4 linked regions of the Ovis aries genome follow. The protein of the gene in region 1 binds, or shares a complex with, the protein of each later gene. Links are inferred from orthologs where the notes say so. Each region holds a gene or a part of one and is shown in the gene's direction. Other genes may lie near its edges.

Region 1 (3,555 bases):
AGTTTGACTTCATTTTCATAATCAGTATATGTTATTTTTAACCCCAAGATATTGTTTATAACAAGATTTTTAAGAAACCCTTTTTTATTCCTAATAGGAAAAAAGAATTTCTATCTTGCCTATCTTGCTGTCTACTTTTTAAATATTGATGTAGCTTTGCTTGTAATTATTATTATTAGCAGTAGTAGCAGTGTTTGTATGTTTATAAAACTCATAATTTAAGACTTCAAAGCCAGGCATATTATAATAATATTGGATTCAAAAACTTTTATTGTATAAGTGATTCCCAGTCCTAACTATATGTTAGACCAAAACGGCATTGATCATCTCAAGATAGCAGAAAATTATGCATTTTAAAGTTATGCAAATTATGTATTTATTTTAGTTTTTAAAATGTATTTTTTTCTGAAATAAAAATCAGATTTTATGATAGTCTTTTTTTGTCAAGATAAATAGTTGAAAAGTACTTGGATTATCTTTTTAAGTATTAAATTCCCTATTAATGTCAAACTATGATAGATCCAGAATTCTCTAGATCTGTGTGAAGTTATTCTAGCAACAGAAACTTGATTCTCTTTTGTTCTTCAGTTGCTTTTGCTTAGCTTTCATAGACATACACTGGCTTATTTTTTCTCTTGGCATCTGGTTTTTTCTTTTTTAATCTTATAGAGTGGCAAATTATTATGGTGCATAGTTTCATAAATTATTGACTATGTTGCATGGGAAAATACTGACAAGTTACAGACTATGTCTGTTCTGATTTTGTGTCGTATACTGGGAAACTAAACATATATATTTAAATTCCAGAATATGAAATATCTATGCTGAACCAGATGTCATGGCTGATGAAGACTGCCTCAATAGAACTAAGGGTAACTTCTTTGAATCGCCAGCGCTCACACACCCAGAGGCTCCTCCACCTCCTGCTGGATGACATGCCAGTGAAACCCTACTCAGGTGAACATCTGCATGTTGGCATTTGTGTTGCCGTGCTGCTGACTGGGCTGTGTGAATGCAAGTGCAAATCTGAATCTTATGGTTAGTCTGTGATTGTAGGCCAAGCATGTTCTTTCTGCCTTTAGGATTTTTTCCCTTCAGAACACGAAATTAAAAGTCACCCATCATTGCCATTTTATTATTGTTAAAAGCATTCACATTTTGCTCTATTCATATACACAAATACACAGTGGAGTTTGTCACACTGAGCCAGCATGACCCAAGATATTCTAATATGTGTTTTACATGCAAATTAAGCACAGACTTTTCTAATCATCTCACAGGTGTGATTGGATCCTGCCTCTTTTAGAGTTCTGATTATGCTTTTTACAATTGTGAAGTGGATCTGATAGAAACAGAAAGAATTAGATGAATGTTGTTGATAAGTTCTCATCATCTGTGCATTTTAATTATCCATTTGCAAGGGGCTCTTTGACCTAGAAACAATGACATAGAAATATAATAACCTGATATTTGTTATTTCTGAATAAATTTTGTGAATGTGTTCTTTTCTGATCTTTTATTCCTGATGCTCCAACAGATGGGGAAGGAGGCATGGAAGATGAAAATAGGTCTGTCTCTGGGTTCCTGCACTTTGACACTTCTACAAAAGGTAAAGCTCTTTGAATCTGTAATAAATTTGTAAGTAAGTGTTAGTCGCTCAGTAGTGCCTGACTCTTTGCGACCCCGTGGACTGCAGCCCACCAGGCTCCTCTGTCCATGAGATTTTCCAGGCAAGGATACTGGAGTGGGTTGCCATTTCCTTCTCCAGGGGATCTTCCCAACCCAGGGATCGAACCCAGGTCTCCCGCACTGCAGGCAAATTCTTTACCGACTGAGCTACAAGGGAAGCTAGATATGTATATATTAAATTGCTTAAAATTTTAGGAGGTAATTAATGCCTGTATCTGCAAATTCTGGACTGATGTTGAAAAGCTATGTGAAAATTATTTGTCAACAAAAAAATCTTTTTATAGCAAGATGATAGCATGGGAAAAACATTTTTGCAAATGAATGTGTTAGAAATAAAATCCAATTTAGATTTCAATACAATTTTCAATTTCCAGACTGAGGCCCTTTCTGAACATAGATATAGTACTGTCTTTGAGAGTGAGCTGAGTACTGTGCTTTGCTTTTCTCTTCAATGTCCCAGCTAAAGTAAAACGACTTTTCATTTTTTCTAGTACGTCGCAAAATTCTCAATATTCTCGACTCCATTGACTTCAGTCAGGAGATTCCTGAGCCTTTGCAGTTGGATTTCTTTGATCGGGCCCAGATTGAACAAGTTATTGCTAACTGTGAACACAAGAATTTACGGGGACAGACAGTCTGCAATGTCAAGGTGAGCATTGCTTTAGAGTGTGTGAAGTATCAAGTGGTTCACAGTCTTTGAGTCATTAGGAAAAAATAACTTTTTTTTTTTCTAATAGAGGTGTTGGTTTATTAGACTGTGGTTTACACTTTTCAAGCAGCAGTGAAAGAAAACTGAATAGCCCGCACTAATTTTATCTGTTAGGTTTCCCATCTCCTTCGTGTTAGTAATCATGCCACCCAGCTGTCACTCAGGGTGGTTTTAATTATTTAACTCTCTACCAGGTAGGTGGTAATGACCTGACTAGTAGGAAGAAGATATCCTGTGCATTTGGACCAAGTTTCCTGCCACAGAGGCTCTTTGGTACTACTCTCTGAAACTTTCCCCTCTAGGGCAGTTTAAAGTAACTGCTAAGTTATTGTTGTACCAGTGTCGGGAATGATCTTATTTTTCTCCCTTCTCTCAATTATGTAGCTGCTTCACAGAGTTCTTGTGGCCGAAGTGAACGCCCTTCAGGGTATGGCAGCCATAGGACAAAGACCTCTCCTGATGGATGTAAGCCCTGCTGACACCTTTTAACTCCTTAAGCTACTTAAATCACCAGTTAGATGATAAAACAGCGAACTGACTTCTAATTCATTATTAGGAAACAACTTAAAAATTAAAAGTCACTCGTCATTGCCATTTTATTATTGTTAAAAGCATTCACATTTTGCTCTATTCATATACACAAATACACAGTGGAGTTTGTCACACTGAGCCAGCATGACCCAAGATATTCTAATATGTGTTTTACATGCAAATTAAGCACAAACTTTTCTAATCATCTCACAGGCATGATTGGATCCTGCCTCTTTTAGAGTTCTGATTATGCTTTTTACAATTGAGAAGTGGATCTGATAGGAATGGAGTCTTTCACTTTTGACTTTGTAATGTTAAAAGCTGAACTGAAGTTAATGTCTGGATGCCTGAATAAAAATCATATCCTTTCTGCTAAGCTAGTTGAGGATTTACAACCTTTTCATATTGTGTAATAGATTTTACTTGTTCCCAGTCAGTGAGGGAAGAGTCATCACAAATGGGGAGATATGGGTCAGAGATTGAGTGGGAAGGACCACATATGTGGAAACACAGCTGGCTAGGCCAAAGCCAGAGGCAAACAAATAGAAGACACATCGAGAAAATGTGATGTCAAACTTGGGTTTTAGGGAGCTCTAGTATAACAGAGTCGGAGAAGGCAATGGCAA
Region 2 (4,185 bases), on another chromosome or scaffold:
TTTGTTACAATGTTGCTTCTGTTGTTTATGTTCTGGGTTTTTGTTGTTGTTTTGGCTCAGAGGCATGTGGGATCTCAGCTCCCGGACCAGGGATGAAAACTACACCCATTTCAGTGGAAGGCAAAGTCTTAACAATTGGACCTCCAGGGTAGTTTCCTGGTACACTTTTTACACAAATGTTCCCTCTTTACGTATGAACTGAACCTTGGAGGTAATTCTTTGCTCCAAACTGCTCTTCCGTTTTACTGTGTGCCTTATGGTCAATCACCGCAAATACATTTTATAATAAAACACTTTACAATTCATTTGCCAGGGGACACATGGCAAGAACCTGAAACAGGCTCCTACTTTGAATAAACCTGATTCCAGTACTGACAAAAAAACATTAAGGCCACATTTCATTTTCCATTAAGAGACAAGTACTCTTTTATACAAGAAAAATTAGAATATGAAAAAAAAAGAGGGTACTAGGGTGAGACTCAAATAGTTATTGATGGAGGAGAAAATTAACATTTCGATGACTACTATGTGCGATGCACCTTTGACATCTCGTCTTAATCCTCCCAAGAACTCTGTGATGAACGCGTTATCTCCATTTTACAGGCAAGGAATCTGCAGCGCCGGGGTTTCTAACCTAGATGGAGCTCAACGCCACGTTTTTTCAAAACCCCACGCTGTCTCAGCAGGAATTAGGTATGAAGAAGTCCTCCTAGAACGACATTTCCCAGGATTAGGGTGGAATATATCAACAAATGCCTAAGGAAAACGTAAACTTATTCCTTTAGGGCTAGAATATACAGCTTTTTGACTACTGCACTTTGAAATAGAGGGCGATACCAACACCTTTTACACTTTTTAAGACAGGTGATCATTTTCTCCTTAATAGGGAAATATACCAAGTAAAGAATAATTAGCCACTATGGAAAACAGTTTCAAAGACTGTAAGGGGTTTACACTTCAGCTCAAACAAGGTGAGTACAGTCAGAGATATAAGAACCTCCAAGATGTAGAGCAGAGCCAGCACGTCTGAATTCAACGACCAGGGTGTTTCCCATAGAGTATGAGGAAATGGCTTCACGTTTTTCTATACCATCAATATACATCAGGACCTCTAGCAGGACACCGGCGCCTGGACCACGCCTCACAAATGTCAGTCAAGCAAAGTGGCGGCCGCGCAGCACGGATAAACGATCAGGCCCCGCCTCCTACCCCACTTCTACCCCGCCCCTGGTCCGGCCCTGCCCAGCCCGGAGCCGTTAATCGCCGACACAACTTTGCGCCTGCGCAGGCCGAAAGTGCGGCTTTGTGCATGCGCCTAGAGGGAAAGTTGGTTCTTTTCCCCTCCCACCCCTCGCGATAACATGAGAACTTGCTTCCAGGTCGAAGGGTTTACTTCCGGTGAGCGGGTAGGCTGAAACGCGGTGGCTAAAGTGGAGTTGAGTTTGCAAAGTTCTTGCTGGAGAAGGCTGTAGCCATGGACAGGTAAGTTCTGGTGGTGAAGGCTGAAGTCGATCACTTTCCTCCCCAGCGTGTTGGAGGAATGAAACAGGTGAAACCCGACTCAGAGGAAGCAGACGAGGGCCTGGGTGCTGATTCTAGGCATCCTTTTCCGGCTGGAAGACTGCAGCTAAGGGAGAAAGGCCGCTTGGGCCGGGGACGGATATGGTCCTTGCCAAGATCCTTGAATAACTCATCTTTATGTAGGGGCCTGATGAGTTATTCAATCCTATGAAGGTAGCTACTGTGATCCTCTTTTCATACATAGAATTGAGGCTAAAAGAGGTTAAGGAACTTGATCAGTTAGGAAGCTAACAAAGGAAGCTAAGAACCAAGTTGCCAACCTGGATATGTGTTTCTAGATTCTAGGGGGCTGTTTGATTCAGCAGATAGTATTCACCAGATAGACCAAAGAGGTGAATGTAGGCCTCTGAAAAGAATGCCTACAAAGGTATAAAGGTGTAAGGATATGAAAGTATAGCTTAATGGTCACATGCAGTGTGTGTTTGTATGAAAGTGATGTTTGTGGCTGAACTGGTAAGCTGGGGTCAGATTATAAAAGCCATGGTAGGAAATTTGGACTTGATTCTGTAGGCCAGAGATATCTATCTGAAGATTTCAAGTGGAGGAAATGCACATTAGATTCTTAAGATACAGGTCTCATAATACACACAATTTATTTTCTAGACTTTGGGCTGAGAATGTCTGTGACTGTAATAGTACTGAGATAGACGACACCCTTAGTGTACTCTGGGAAGAAAAGCTTGAAGGATCATTTCTTTCCAATTTATTAGATTTATTTTTTATTTAGTTTCCCAAGTCACCAGCTTAGAAGTATCCATGGTTTGAAGTACTTTGGAGACTACAGACATCCTTTTAAGAGTTCCTGCAACTTTAGGAACCTCCTCAATCCAAGGAAGTAAGGTTTATCTTCAGGAAGCAATTATTTAAAGCAGTGTTAGAATATAGATTTAGATTCCAAGTGTTAAAATAATTCCAGAGGAGGAAAAAATTAACACGTAAGTCAGAGAAGACTTTATGCGGGTAAAATTTGAGCAGGACTTTGAGAGATAAGCTGGATTTGGTAATGATAGAAGTTTTTTTTGCAAATGCTCCTTTCTCATTTCATTCATGTGAATTTGATTATTGCCATTTTAGGAGTGGCTTTGGAGAGATGTCATCTCCTGTGATCCGGGAGGCAGAGGTGACTCGGACTGCACGCAAACAGAGTGCCCAAAAAAGAGCTTTAAGTATCCTTTGCATTTTAAGCATCATTATAAAAATTGTAACATGTTTGGAATTAGCATTATAGACTTCATAGTGATATTAAACACTAGCTGCAATAAAATACTGTGGAAATTAATTTTTTTAACTCTCCAGATGTGTTATTTGGTAAATATGATGCTGAAATTCAGTGAGATTCATATTTCCTTGAAAATAAGGATGTTCCATTTTACTGCTAACTGTCATATTGTGGTTAGCTTTTGCTGAGGTTAGATTTTCTTTATTATTTGAGTTCTAAGAACTCTTAGTTCAGTGTGTGGTAACCTAAGACTTGAGCACTTAGTTCAAGACTGTAGTAACTGATAACTAGAATTTAAAGGGGAAAAGGAATTATTTACTCTTTGCATAGAAAATATGGTAGCTATAAAATACCTTGTCCTTGAAAAACATATTCTCATATTTTGTATAGTATAAATATGGTTCATGCTGGAAGGGATTGGGGGCAGGAGGAGAAGGGGACGACAGAGGATGAGATGGCTGGATGGTATCACCAACTCTATGGACATGAGTTTGGATAAACTCCGGGAGTTGCTGATGGACAGGGAGGCCTGGCATGCTGTGATTCATGGGGTCGCAAAGAGTCGGACACGACTGAGCGACTGAACTGAACTGAACTGAAATATGGTTCATTCTAACTTTAGTGATGTTTTTTTCTATACAAAAAACTTTCTTTAACATTTCCTGTAGTTCGGGTAGCCCAAGATGAAATTTTTTCTAATACCACTCCAAGAAACCAGGTTATGCCCCGAACTCCCAGCTCATTTCGACAACCTTGTAAGATTTTTTTGCTTTTAAAGCATTTAATAATGATAACAGTAATAGCAGCTAATACTGTAATATTATATTTTATAAGTTATTTTTAATTAAGAACAAATAATAGGGATTGCACTTACTATTTGTTGAACTCTTACCATGTGTAAGGCTTTACATAATTGCATAATAGCTGTGAAAGTAGATATTGTCTCTATTTTGTCAAATCTGAACATGAGAACTAGAGAAGTTGATTAATGCAGATAAAATAGCTAGGTAAGTATGTAAGTAATGGAACCAAAATTCAAATCATAATCTGCTTACTTCAGAGTCCATGTCCTTTATACTATCGTATGCTTTATAAAATTAGAATTTGATAAATTCATGAACTCATGAGTGTCTTTTTTTTTTTTTATGTTCAGTTACGTTATAATGACAGCATTTCTGTTTGCAGTAAAATTTTTTTGGTGGGCTCAGTAGTACCAAAAGTTCGTATTTAGAAAAATAAGTTAAATCTTGATATTATAGAAATGTTAATATTGAAAGTATATTTGGTTAGAATCTAAATAATTGAAAAGTGAAAATTGTTCGTTTTTATTTGCTTGTTTCATTTTCATGATCAATGCTCATGCACTTCGAATTCTTTTTACTAAT
Region 3 (4,021 bases), on another chromosome or scaffold:
CTTCTTTGTATGTCTGCTGCTGCTGCCGCTGCTGCTAAGTCGCTTCAGTCGTGTCCGATTCTGTGCGACCCCAGAGAGGGCAGCCCACCAGGCTCCCCCGTCCCTGGGATTCTCCAGGCAAGAACACTGGAGTGGGTTGCCATTTCCTTCTCCAATGCATGAAAGTGAAAAGTGAAAGTGAAGTCGCTCAGTCGTGTCCAACCCTCAGCGACCCCATGGACTGCAGCCTTCCAGGCTTCTCCGTCCATGGGATTTTCCAGGCAAGAATACTGGAGTGGGGTGCCATTGCCTTCTCCGTCTTTGTATGTGTATACATTTGTAAACATGGCACTCACAAAATAAATAACTCCTTTAGGTCACCGAAGCACTTTTGAGGTTTTCCATAACAAGATCTGGGATTCAAATTCCCTGATTTGATTTTTTCTCCTGCTTTTCTTTGGTGAGATAACAAATCAGTTGTTCAGTCGCTAAGCCGCGTTCGACTCTTGCGACTCCATGAACTGTAGTCCGCCAGGCTCCTCTGTCCATGGGATTTTCCCAGGCAAGAGTATGAGAGGGTTGCCATTTTCTTCTGTAGGGGATCTTTCCCACCCCGGGATCGAACCCGCGTCTCGGTATTCTTGACCACTGAGCCACCTGGGAAGCCCATAACAAACCAGTATTTGTGTTCAACTGAGCCCAGGGGTCTCCGTTTCCTAGCTGTTTCAGCTGCATCAATCTCGTCCCCCTCACGCCTCTGGAGCCTTTTGGGGTAGGGGCTGGTGACGAATACCTTCGTACACAAGCCCGATGGACCAACGGGGCTCCTGCCACGGAAAAAGCAGCGGCGCCGACGACTGGAGCCTGCAGACCGAGGCGCGGGAAGGAAACCCAGGCTCGCCAGAGGTGGTGAACTCGCTCCCGCCGGGGCCAAACCGAGAGCTCGCCCTCGACCGCGCACGCGCAGCCGCCTCCCCGCCGCTCCCGCCGTCTCCGGGGGGCCTTCTTTCCGCCCGGCTCAGGGGTGTCCGCGGCGGCGCCGGCTCTGGCGAAAGGGGTCCCGTGAGGGCAGGCCGCCCCTAGTGCTGCCTTCCCCGTTCGTGTGGTCGAGGCCAGAAGGAGGGGCGCGTGGGCAGCGCCGCAGAGCGGGTGGCCGAGGCTCTGAGGAGAAGGCCCCGCCGCGGCGGGCCTCTGGGCCTGCAGGCAGTGCGGGAGGCGCTCACGCGCGGGGTCCTCTCTCGCAGCCGGCCCTGAGCCGGAGCCCTGAGGCGCGAGCCCTGGCGGCCCCGCGAGTTCCCGGCGGCTGTGGTGCGGCGCTATGGAGGAGTTCGACAGCGAGCCGACGGTCACTGTAAGGGGGCCCCGAACAGTACGCTCTCCCCCGCCCTGGGGCCCGGAGATTGGGTCCGCCTCGTCCCTGCCGCTGGCAGGGTGCCCGGCCCCTTCCCTCAGCACAGTTGCCCCCCGTTCGGAAGTCGCATTAATTCGCTCCCCGCGTGTGGGTCGTGGTGGTCGCTGGGTTTCTGCTCCCATGTGTATTCTGAGGAATACCTGGCCCTGGAGACCGCCCCCCCAACTCTGTTCCTTTCTGTCCCTTGCCTCCCCGACCTCCCTGCTTCTCTGGCTTTTCCTGTTGGGCTAAAGCTTTAATGAGCGGGTTGGAGCCAGGCGGAGATATTGTACGGCTTTTTTTCTCCCAGCGGAGCAAAGCTTCACGTCGCAGCCCCCTGAGCCTGGCTTCTGCTTGAGCAGGCCGTAGGTTTACCAAGTATAGTTCTCTTGGGAGACTGCTGTTGTTCAGTGGCCCAGTCGTGTCCGACTCTTTGCGACCCCATGGACTGCAGCACGCCAGGCCTCCCTGTCCCTCACCACCTCCCGGAGTTTGCTTAAGTTCAAGTTCATTCCATCCTTGATGCCGTCGCTTCATCTCGTCCTCTGACGCCCTCTGCTCCTCCTGCCCTCGATCTTTCTCAACATCAGGGACTTTGCCAAATGAGTCGTCTGTTCTCATCAGATGACCAAAATACTGGAGCTTCAGCTTCAGCAACAGTCCCTCCAGTGAGTATTCAGGATTGACCTCCCTTAAGATTGACTGGTTTGATCTCCTTCCTGTCCAAGGGACTTTCAGGAGTCTTCTCCAGCACCACAGTTCGAAGGCATCAATTCTTTGGCATTCTGCCTTCTTTATGGTCCAGCTCTCACAACTGTACATGACCCCTGGGAAGACCATATCGTTGACAACACGAACCTTTGTTGGTAATGTCTCTGCTTTTCAACTCACTGCCTAGGTTTGTCATCACTTTCCTGTCAAGAAGCAATTGTGTTTGATTTCATGGCTGCATTCACTATCTGCAGAGATTTTGGAGCTCAAGAGGAAATCTGTCATTACTTCCACCTTTCCCCCTTCTATTTGCTGCAGTGGTGATTGCAGCCATGAAATTAAAAGAGGCTTACTCCTTGGAAGGAAAGTTATGACCAACCTAGATAGCATATTCAAAAGCAGAGACATTACGTTGCCAACAGAGGTCCGTCTAGTCAAGGCTATGGTTTTTCCAGTGGTCATGTATGGATGCGAGAGTTGGACTGTGAAGAAAGCTGAGCACCGAAGAATTGATGTTTTTGAACTGTGGTGCTGGAGAAGACTCTTGAGAGTCCCATGGACTGCAAGATCCAACCAGTCCATTCTAAGGGAGATCAGTCGTGGGTGTTCTTTGGAAGGACTGATGCTAAAGCTGAAACTCCAATACTTTGGCCACCTCATGCAAAGAGTTGACTCATTGGAAAAGGCTCTGATGCTGGGAGGGATTGGGGGCAGGAGGAGAAGGGGACGACTGAGGATGAGATGGCTGGATGGCATCACGGACTTGATGGACATGAGTCTGAGTGAACTCCGGGGGTTGGTGATGGACAGGGAGGCCTGGTGTGCTGCAATTCATGGGGTCGCAAAGAGTCGGACATGACTGAGCAACTGAACTCAACTGAACTGAATGGAGCCAGATGCCATGATCTTAGTTTTTTTTAATATTTAGCCTTAAGCTGACTCTTTCACTCTCCTCCACACTCATCAAGAGGCTCTTTAGTTCCTCTTCACTTTCTGCCATTAGGGTGGTGTCATCATCTAAGTCTGTTGATGTTTCTCCTGCTTCTAACTTTGCTTCTTTGCCATTTAGCAGGGCTTACAGGTTACCAAGAGCTAAGAGGTGTAGAACAAGCCTAAGTGGACAAATGGAAATATTTGTCAGGGAGTATTTCTTAGGAGACAGGTGTGATGGTCTGGTATTCCCATCTCTCTAAGAGCTTTCCACAGTTTGTCATGATCCACACAGTCAAAGGCTTTAGGGTAGTTGATGAAGCAGAGATAGATGTTTTTTTGAAATTCCCTTGCTTTCTGTATCATCCAGCAAATGTTGGCAATTTGATCTCTAGTTCCTCTTTCTTTTCTAAGCCCAGCTTGGACATCTGGAAGTTCTTGGTTCGCATAATGCTTCAGCCTAGCATGCAAGATTTTAAGCATGATCTTACTAGCATGGGAGATGAGTGCAATTGTCTGATGGTTAGCACATTCTTTGGTACTACCCTTCTTGGGAATTGAGATGAAGATTACCTTTTCCAGTCATGTGGCCACTGCTGGGTCTTCCAGACTTGCTGACATAATGAATGCAAATCCTTGATGGTATTCTCCTTCAGGGATTTGAGTAGTTCTGCTGGAATTTCATCACATCCACTAGCTTTATTAACAGCAGTGCTTCTCCTAAGGCCCACTTGACTTTGCACTCCAGAATGTCTGACTCTGGGTGACTAACTACAACCGGACTAACTAGTAATCCGGTTCATTAAGATCTTTTTTATACAGTTCTTCCATGTATTCTTTCTATCTCTTCTTGATCTTTTCAGCATCTACTAGGTCTCGGGAGAATACTCCTGCTTTTTCATTGCTCTGTTTGCTTTCACATCTGTTTGAACTCTCAGGAGAGTATGTCAGATGTGGATGATATATGATGCTTAGAAGGAGATTCATGGCTGTTAGAAGAGGGATACCTAT
Region 4 (3,827 bases), on another chromosome or scaffold:
TTAACGGTCAACTCTTAAAATATCTATACTTTGTGGATTCAGTGTTTGAGCCTAGCTCGCTTACTCACTTTCCTAAATACGTCTTCTATTTGGGGCAAATATATGTACAGTTTTATTACTGCTAATATATCCTTTACCTCTCATGTGAGCTGACTGCTGTAGGTAGTCACTGTACTCATTTACTGCATTTCCCATATACTAGGAAATATACTAAGTGCTCCACTCGTATGATCACAACAGCTCTATAAGGTGGATATTAAAGTTCCCATTTTATAGGGAGAAGGAAGGTTTTGACTTATCCAAGGTCAAACTAGAGTGGTGGAACCAGAATTCGCCTTCTTTGACAACAGCTCTTATGTAACAACGGAACATTAATGACACTGTATGTTTTTCTAATTCTGCTTTAGGCTTAAAGATCATGAACATTGCTTTTTTCAACCGGTTTTTTTCTTTTTATAAGATAATGTTCGCTCCTGTCTAATTTAACTATCTGCTCACTTTACCTCTTTACCTTACTATCCGTCCTCTTTACCAACCACGAGGAAGGAGAGTAAGAAGGAGGTTACTGCTTCTGTGTTAAATGCGTCTTTCAAAGTCTACGTTTATAGCCGAGCACAGGAAAAGGAACGGAACCCCCCTGGCTTTGTGCCTCTGCGGCAAACCGTGCCTCTCTCCTTCCGCGTCCTTTCCGAGAATTAGCCTTCCTCCCGTTAACTACATTTCCCAGCGGCCCGCGCGGCCGAGAGCGCGGGCTCGACCAGCCCTTCCTTCCTTCCTCACCTATCAGCCGGTCGCAGCGTGATGACGCAGGCTCGCCGGGCGCTGACGAGTGACGGTGTTCTGGCTCGAGACCGCAGCGGCGGCCTTAGCAGCGGCAATAGACGCAACAGCGGCGACTGCAGGGACGACGGCGGCGACGACGACGACGGCGGCGGCGGGGCGGGCGCTGTGCGCAAAGGGGAGGGGTAGGCGGGCGGCGCCGGCGGCTTCAACTGCGGCAGCTACACGGCTGGGGCGTGCGGAAGAAGAATCTCCATCAGCCGGCGGCCGAGTTAGGCCCGAGCAGCGCCGGGGGCCGCTCGCGTTGTCCTCTGCGGGGGAAATCTCCATAGAGACGGTGACACACACAGAGGCGGGGGTCCGCGGGAGCCTGCGGGACCGGAGAGCCAGCTCCTCGGCCTCTGTGGCCTCCCCGCCCCGCTCCCCCCACCTCGCTGCCGCCAGCGCGCATTCTCTTCTCCGCTTCTGCTCGCCGCTCCGCGGTTCCCGGTGGGCCTGGGCCCCCGCTGTGAGGGCAGCGCGGGCGGACTCTTGGGGGCTGGGGCCGGGTGAGGCGAGGCGGGGGGCGGGGGTCCTCTGAGGCCGCCTCTGCCTCTCCCGCCCCGGAGGGGGAAGCCGCGGAGGCTCCGCCATGGCCTCGGGAGCCGGAGGCAGAGGAGGGGGCGGTGGCGGCGGCAAGATCCGGACGCGGCGTTGCCACCAGGGCCCGATGAAGCCTTACCAGCAGGGGCGACCGCAGCACCAGGTAAGGGAGCCCCGGCGCTCTGTGTGAGGGGGTCCCTTCGCGGGCCCTCGGGGCGGCGGGGGGGCGGGGGGGGCGGCCCTGGCGCCCCACGTGGAGCGTCGGGGAGGCCCCGGGCGAGGCGGCGGGAGCCGAGGCCGCCGGGGCGGCGACGGGAAGTGGGCTTGAGGCCGGCCAGCCCTGCGGCGCACACGTGTGGCTCGGCCTCCTCTCTCCACCAACCCCCCGCCCCGCACCCTGGCCCTCTCCGCCCCGGGGCTTTCCCCGGGCCTGGGCGCAGGGCGGGAACACAAGTACGAGGCCCACGGTGGGCCTAGAATTCTGCCCCCCCCCCCCCCTTTTTTTGGCGGGGATTAGGAGCTTGGAGGAGGGGGGGTGGTTAATTACTCATGTCCCTCAAGGGAAAAGGGAAAATGCTGTGGTTGGGAGGGCCCCCCACCCCCACGCCTGCAGATTTCTAGTCTCCCGCGTTTCAGCGCGTGCGGGGAGGGGGGCTGCCCCAAGGACTCCTCCGATCCTCACCCCGCCAGGGTACCTACCTGGGGCTTGACGGGGGCGCTGTTACAGGGAAAGTGAAATAACTTATTCTCCATCCTTTAAATTCTCCATCTCCCCGTGGCCCTCCCCGATCTAAGAGCCCTGGCTTATTTAATTTTTTCTTCAACCGGGATATGGTTAGTGGCACTGGGGCATTTTGAAAGTCCCTCTCCGCACTTACGTCTGTTTTTCCGTCGCGAGACTCTTCCCTCCCCACTTTTGTCCAACCTTTCCCCCCCCTCCCCACACACACCCGCGCGTTTTATTTTGGAGACTAGAATTGGCCATTATGCACAGTTGACTGGGACTCCAGTTCTGATCTCATGCACAAAATATTTTAATATTGCAATGGGTATTCTAGAAGTTTAGGTACTTTCGACACTACAGGAATGTTGGTGGTCTTGAAATTTAACCACCTTGTGCACTCGTGGGTGTTTGAAATTATAAAAATAGGAGTTTATCCTCAGATATTTGATTCTGAGAAAGTTAAGTATTTTAAGTTTTGCTTGTTAACGGGGGATTGAGTGGGAAAATGTTGAAAACCTTCTAATAAAAGTCACTTATAAAACTTTTCACTGATAGTAAGGTAGGAAGTAAGTGTGGGCCTTAAACCTATAAAAAGTATAGCAAAAGGGTCTGATAACTTGTTGCATACTATAAAAGGTAGACTTCTAGATTGCTTTATTCCAGATGATGATAAATATTTAACAGTTAAACATGTTTGGTGCTGTTGTTAAATTGTATCATTAAAAACAGAATTTTAAAAGTAAAGATTTGGGAGAAGTTTCTTAATAGTGAAATTTCGTAGTTTATAGTATTAGGTAGCTCTCTACTAATGGTTACAAGTCTTGGCTACTATCAACTCCCACCAGTGTTCCCCCAGATAGGCTTGGTTTTCAAATTTTCTTTGTGAGGAGCAAGATTAGAATTCAGGTCACAAGCCTGGCCCTTTGACCTAACCCTTTTGTTGCGAGGAAGTTTGACACATGTGCTTTCTGTTTTTTCTGAAAAAATAGTGCTTTCCTTAGGAGAAAGTTACTACATAAAAAATGAAATGTAAATACAGATCATAGGATGGTCTGGACAGAGTTTAGAAAGGAGCTCGTATATTCCAGGTGGCGAAAGCCAAAGTCACACCTTATTTTTAAATATACTTGGATAAAAACCTAATTTGAGGGAGATGATGCCTTAACAGCATAACACTTGTGATCCAAATTGTCTTAGAGCTGATATGATTTCAGACTGTGCAGTTTTATTTTAAAGTTTGGTAGTTTATCATTTCCCCCTGTTTAAAGTATTCAGCTTTTTGCCACAGCCATTTAATTGAAAAAGTACATTTGTAGCTTTTGAATTGAGATTAAAGGTGTTTGGAAGTTTCTTAATCAACTCTGCAGGTATTATTAGTATTGGCTAATACGGTTGGATAGCATGACTCACCAACTCAATGGACTTGAGTTTGAGCAAACTCCGGGAGGTAGTGAAGAACAGGGGAGCCTGGCGTGCTGCAGTCCATGGGGTTGCAGAGTTGGACACGACTTGCCACTGAACAACAATTAGTATTGGCAATACTACCAAAGAAAAGTATCCAGGCATATACAAAAGAATATTTGAGGATTTTTTAAAATCTTAAAATAAGGATGTTCTTTAGTCCTTACTAAAACTTCTGTGAACTTGTAGACCACCTGCTTGCTGTCAGCTATCCTAGGCTGTCACCTCTGTTTAGCAGCAGCTGCTGAGTCATCATGAATAGCATGGAGCTTCATGACAT

What was found.
Region 2: the proteins of NUP205 (region 1) and NUP107 are in contact, whole or in part, in a cryo-EM structure (PDB 7WB4), measured with the Xenopus laevis proteins. The link is inferred for Ovis aries from reciprocal best matches to the Homo sapiens genes NUP205 and NUP107. Residues at the interface, in XP_041443600.1 of Xenopus laevis: Gly1247, Gln1248, Arg1249, Pro1250, Ser1458, Arg1506, Gln1507, Leu1983, His1991, Gln1995; in NP_001091312.1 of Xenopus laevis: Gln134, Glu136, Pro189, Tyr282, Tyr283, Gln770, Ser772, Phe773, Thr774.
Region 3: the proteins of NUP205 (region 1) and NUP85 are in contact, whole or in part, in a cryo-EM structure (PDB 7TDZ), measured with the Xenopus laevis proteins. The link is inferred for Ovis aries from reciprocal best matches to the Homo sapiens genes NUP205 and NUP85. Residues at the interface, in XP_041443600.1 of Xenopus laevis: Glu1477, Cys1480, Arg1481, Cys1484, Asp1485, Ser1517, Gly1518, Tyr1519, Leu1520, Lys1521, Val1522, Val1524, Asp1525, Ser1574, Gly1575, Gln1582, Gln1638, Gly1641, Gln1642, Gln1645, Val1648, Leu1690, Asp1691, Ile1692, Gly1693, Leu1694, Asn1695, Asp1696, Gly1697, Ser1698; in XP_041431608.1 of Xenopus laevis: Ala86, Glu87, Glu88, Ala89, Ser90, Gly91, Lys92, Ser93, Arg94, Lys95, Pro156, Pro239, Met240, Gly245, Thr246, Gln247, Thr248, Leu249, Thr250, Glu251, Phe252, Glu253, Leu254, Lys255, Trp256, Gln257, His258, Trp259, Pro315.
Region 4: NUP205 (region 1) and NUP153 share a complex: the UniProt entries of both Homo sapiens proteins name them as parts of the nuclear pore complex. The link is inferred for Ovis aries from reciprocal best matches to the Homo sapiens genes NUP205 and NUP153.

Annotation. Positions count from the first base shown.
Region 1 is NC_056057.1:100,880,383-100,883,937, forward strand, and holds part of NUP205 (nuclear pore complex protein Nup205), read left to right. Parts: intron 1-807; coding exon 808-957; intron 958-1,537; coding exon 1,538-1,609; intron 1,610-2,180; coding exon 2,181-2,338; intron 2,339-2,782; coding exon 2,783-2,863; intron 2,864-3,555. UniProt on the Homo sapiens protein: Plays a role in the nuclear pore complex (NPC) assembly and/or maintenance. May anchor NUP62 and other nucleoporins, but not NUP153 and TPR, to the NPC.
Region 2 is NC_056056.1:151,301,037-151,305,221, reverse strand, and holds the start of NUP107 (nuclear pore complex protein Nup107), read left to right. Parts: upstream 1-1,385; 5' UTR 1,386-1,474; coding exon 1,475-1,482; intron 1,483-2,655; coding exon 2,656-2,747; intron 2,748-3,468; coding exon 3,469-3,555; coding exon of another isoform or gene 3,556-3,556; intron 3,557-4,171; coding exon of another isoform or gene 4,172-4,185. UniProt on the Homo sapiens protein: Plays a role in the nuclear pore complex (NPC) assembly and/or maintenance. Required for the assembly of peripheral proteins into the NPC. May anchor NUP62 to the NPC. Involved in nephrogenesis.
Region 3 is NC_056064.1:55,609,176-55,613,196, reverse strand, and holds the start of NUP85 (nuclear pore complex protein Nup85), read left to right. Parts: upstream 1-1,221; 5' UTR 1,222-1,297; coding exon of another isoform or gene 1,298-1,330; 5' UTR 1,331-1,971; coding exon 1,972-2,037; intron 2,038-4,021. UniProt on the Homo sapiens protein: Essential component of the nuclear pore complex (NPC) that seems to be required for NPC assembly and maintenance. As part of the NPC Nup107-160 subcomplex plays a role in RNA export and in tethering NUP96/Nup98 and NUP153 to the nucleus.
Region 4 is NC_056073.1:39,014,305-39,018,131, forward strand, and holds the start of NUP153 (nuclear pore complex protein Nup153), read left to right. Parts: upstream 1-1,411; coding exon 1,412-1,525; exon of another isoform or gene 1,526-1,688; intron 1,689-3,827. Other genes in the region: uncharacterized protein LOC121817444, read right to left, coding at 784-1,413. UniProt on the Homo sapiens protein: Component of the nuclear pore complex (NPC), a complex required for the trafficking across the nuclear envelope. Functions as a scaffolding element in the nuclear phase of the NPC essential for normal nucleocytoplasmic transport of proteins and mRNAs.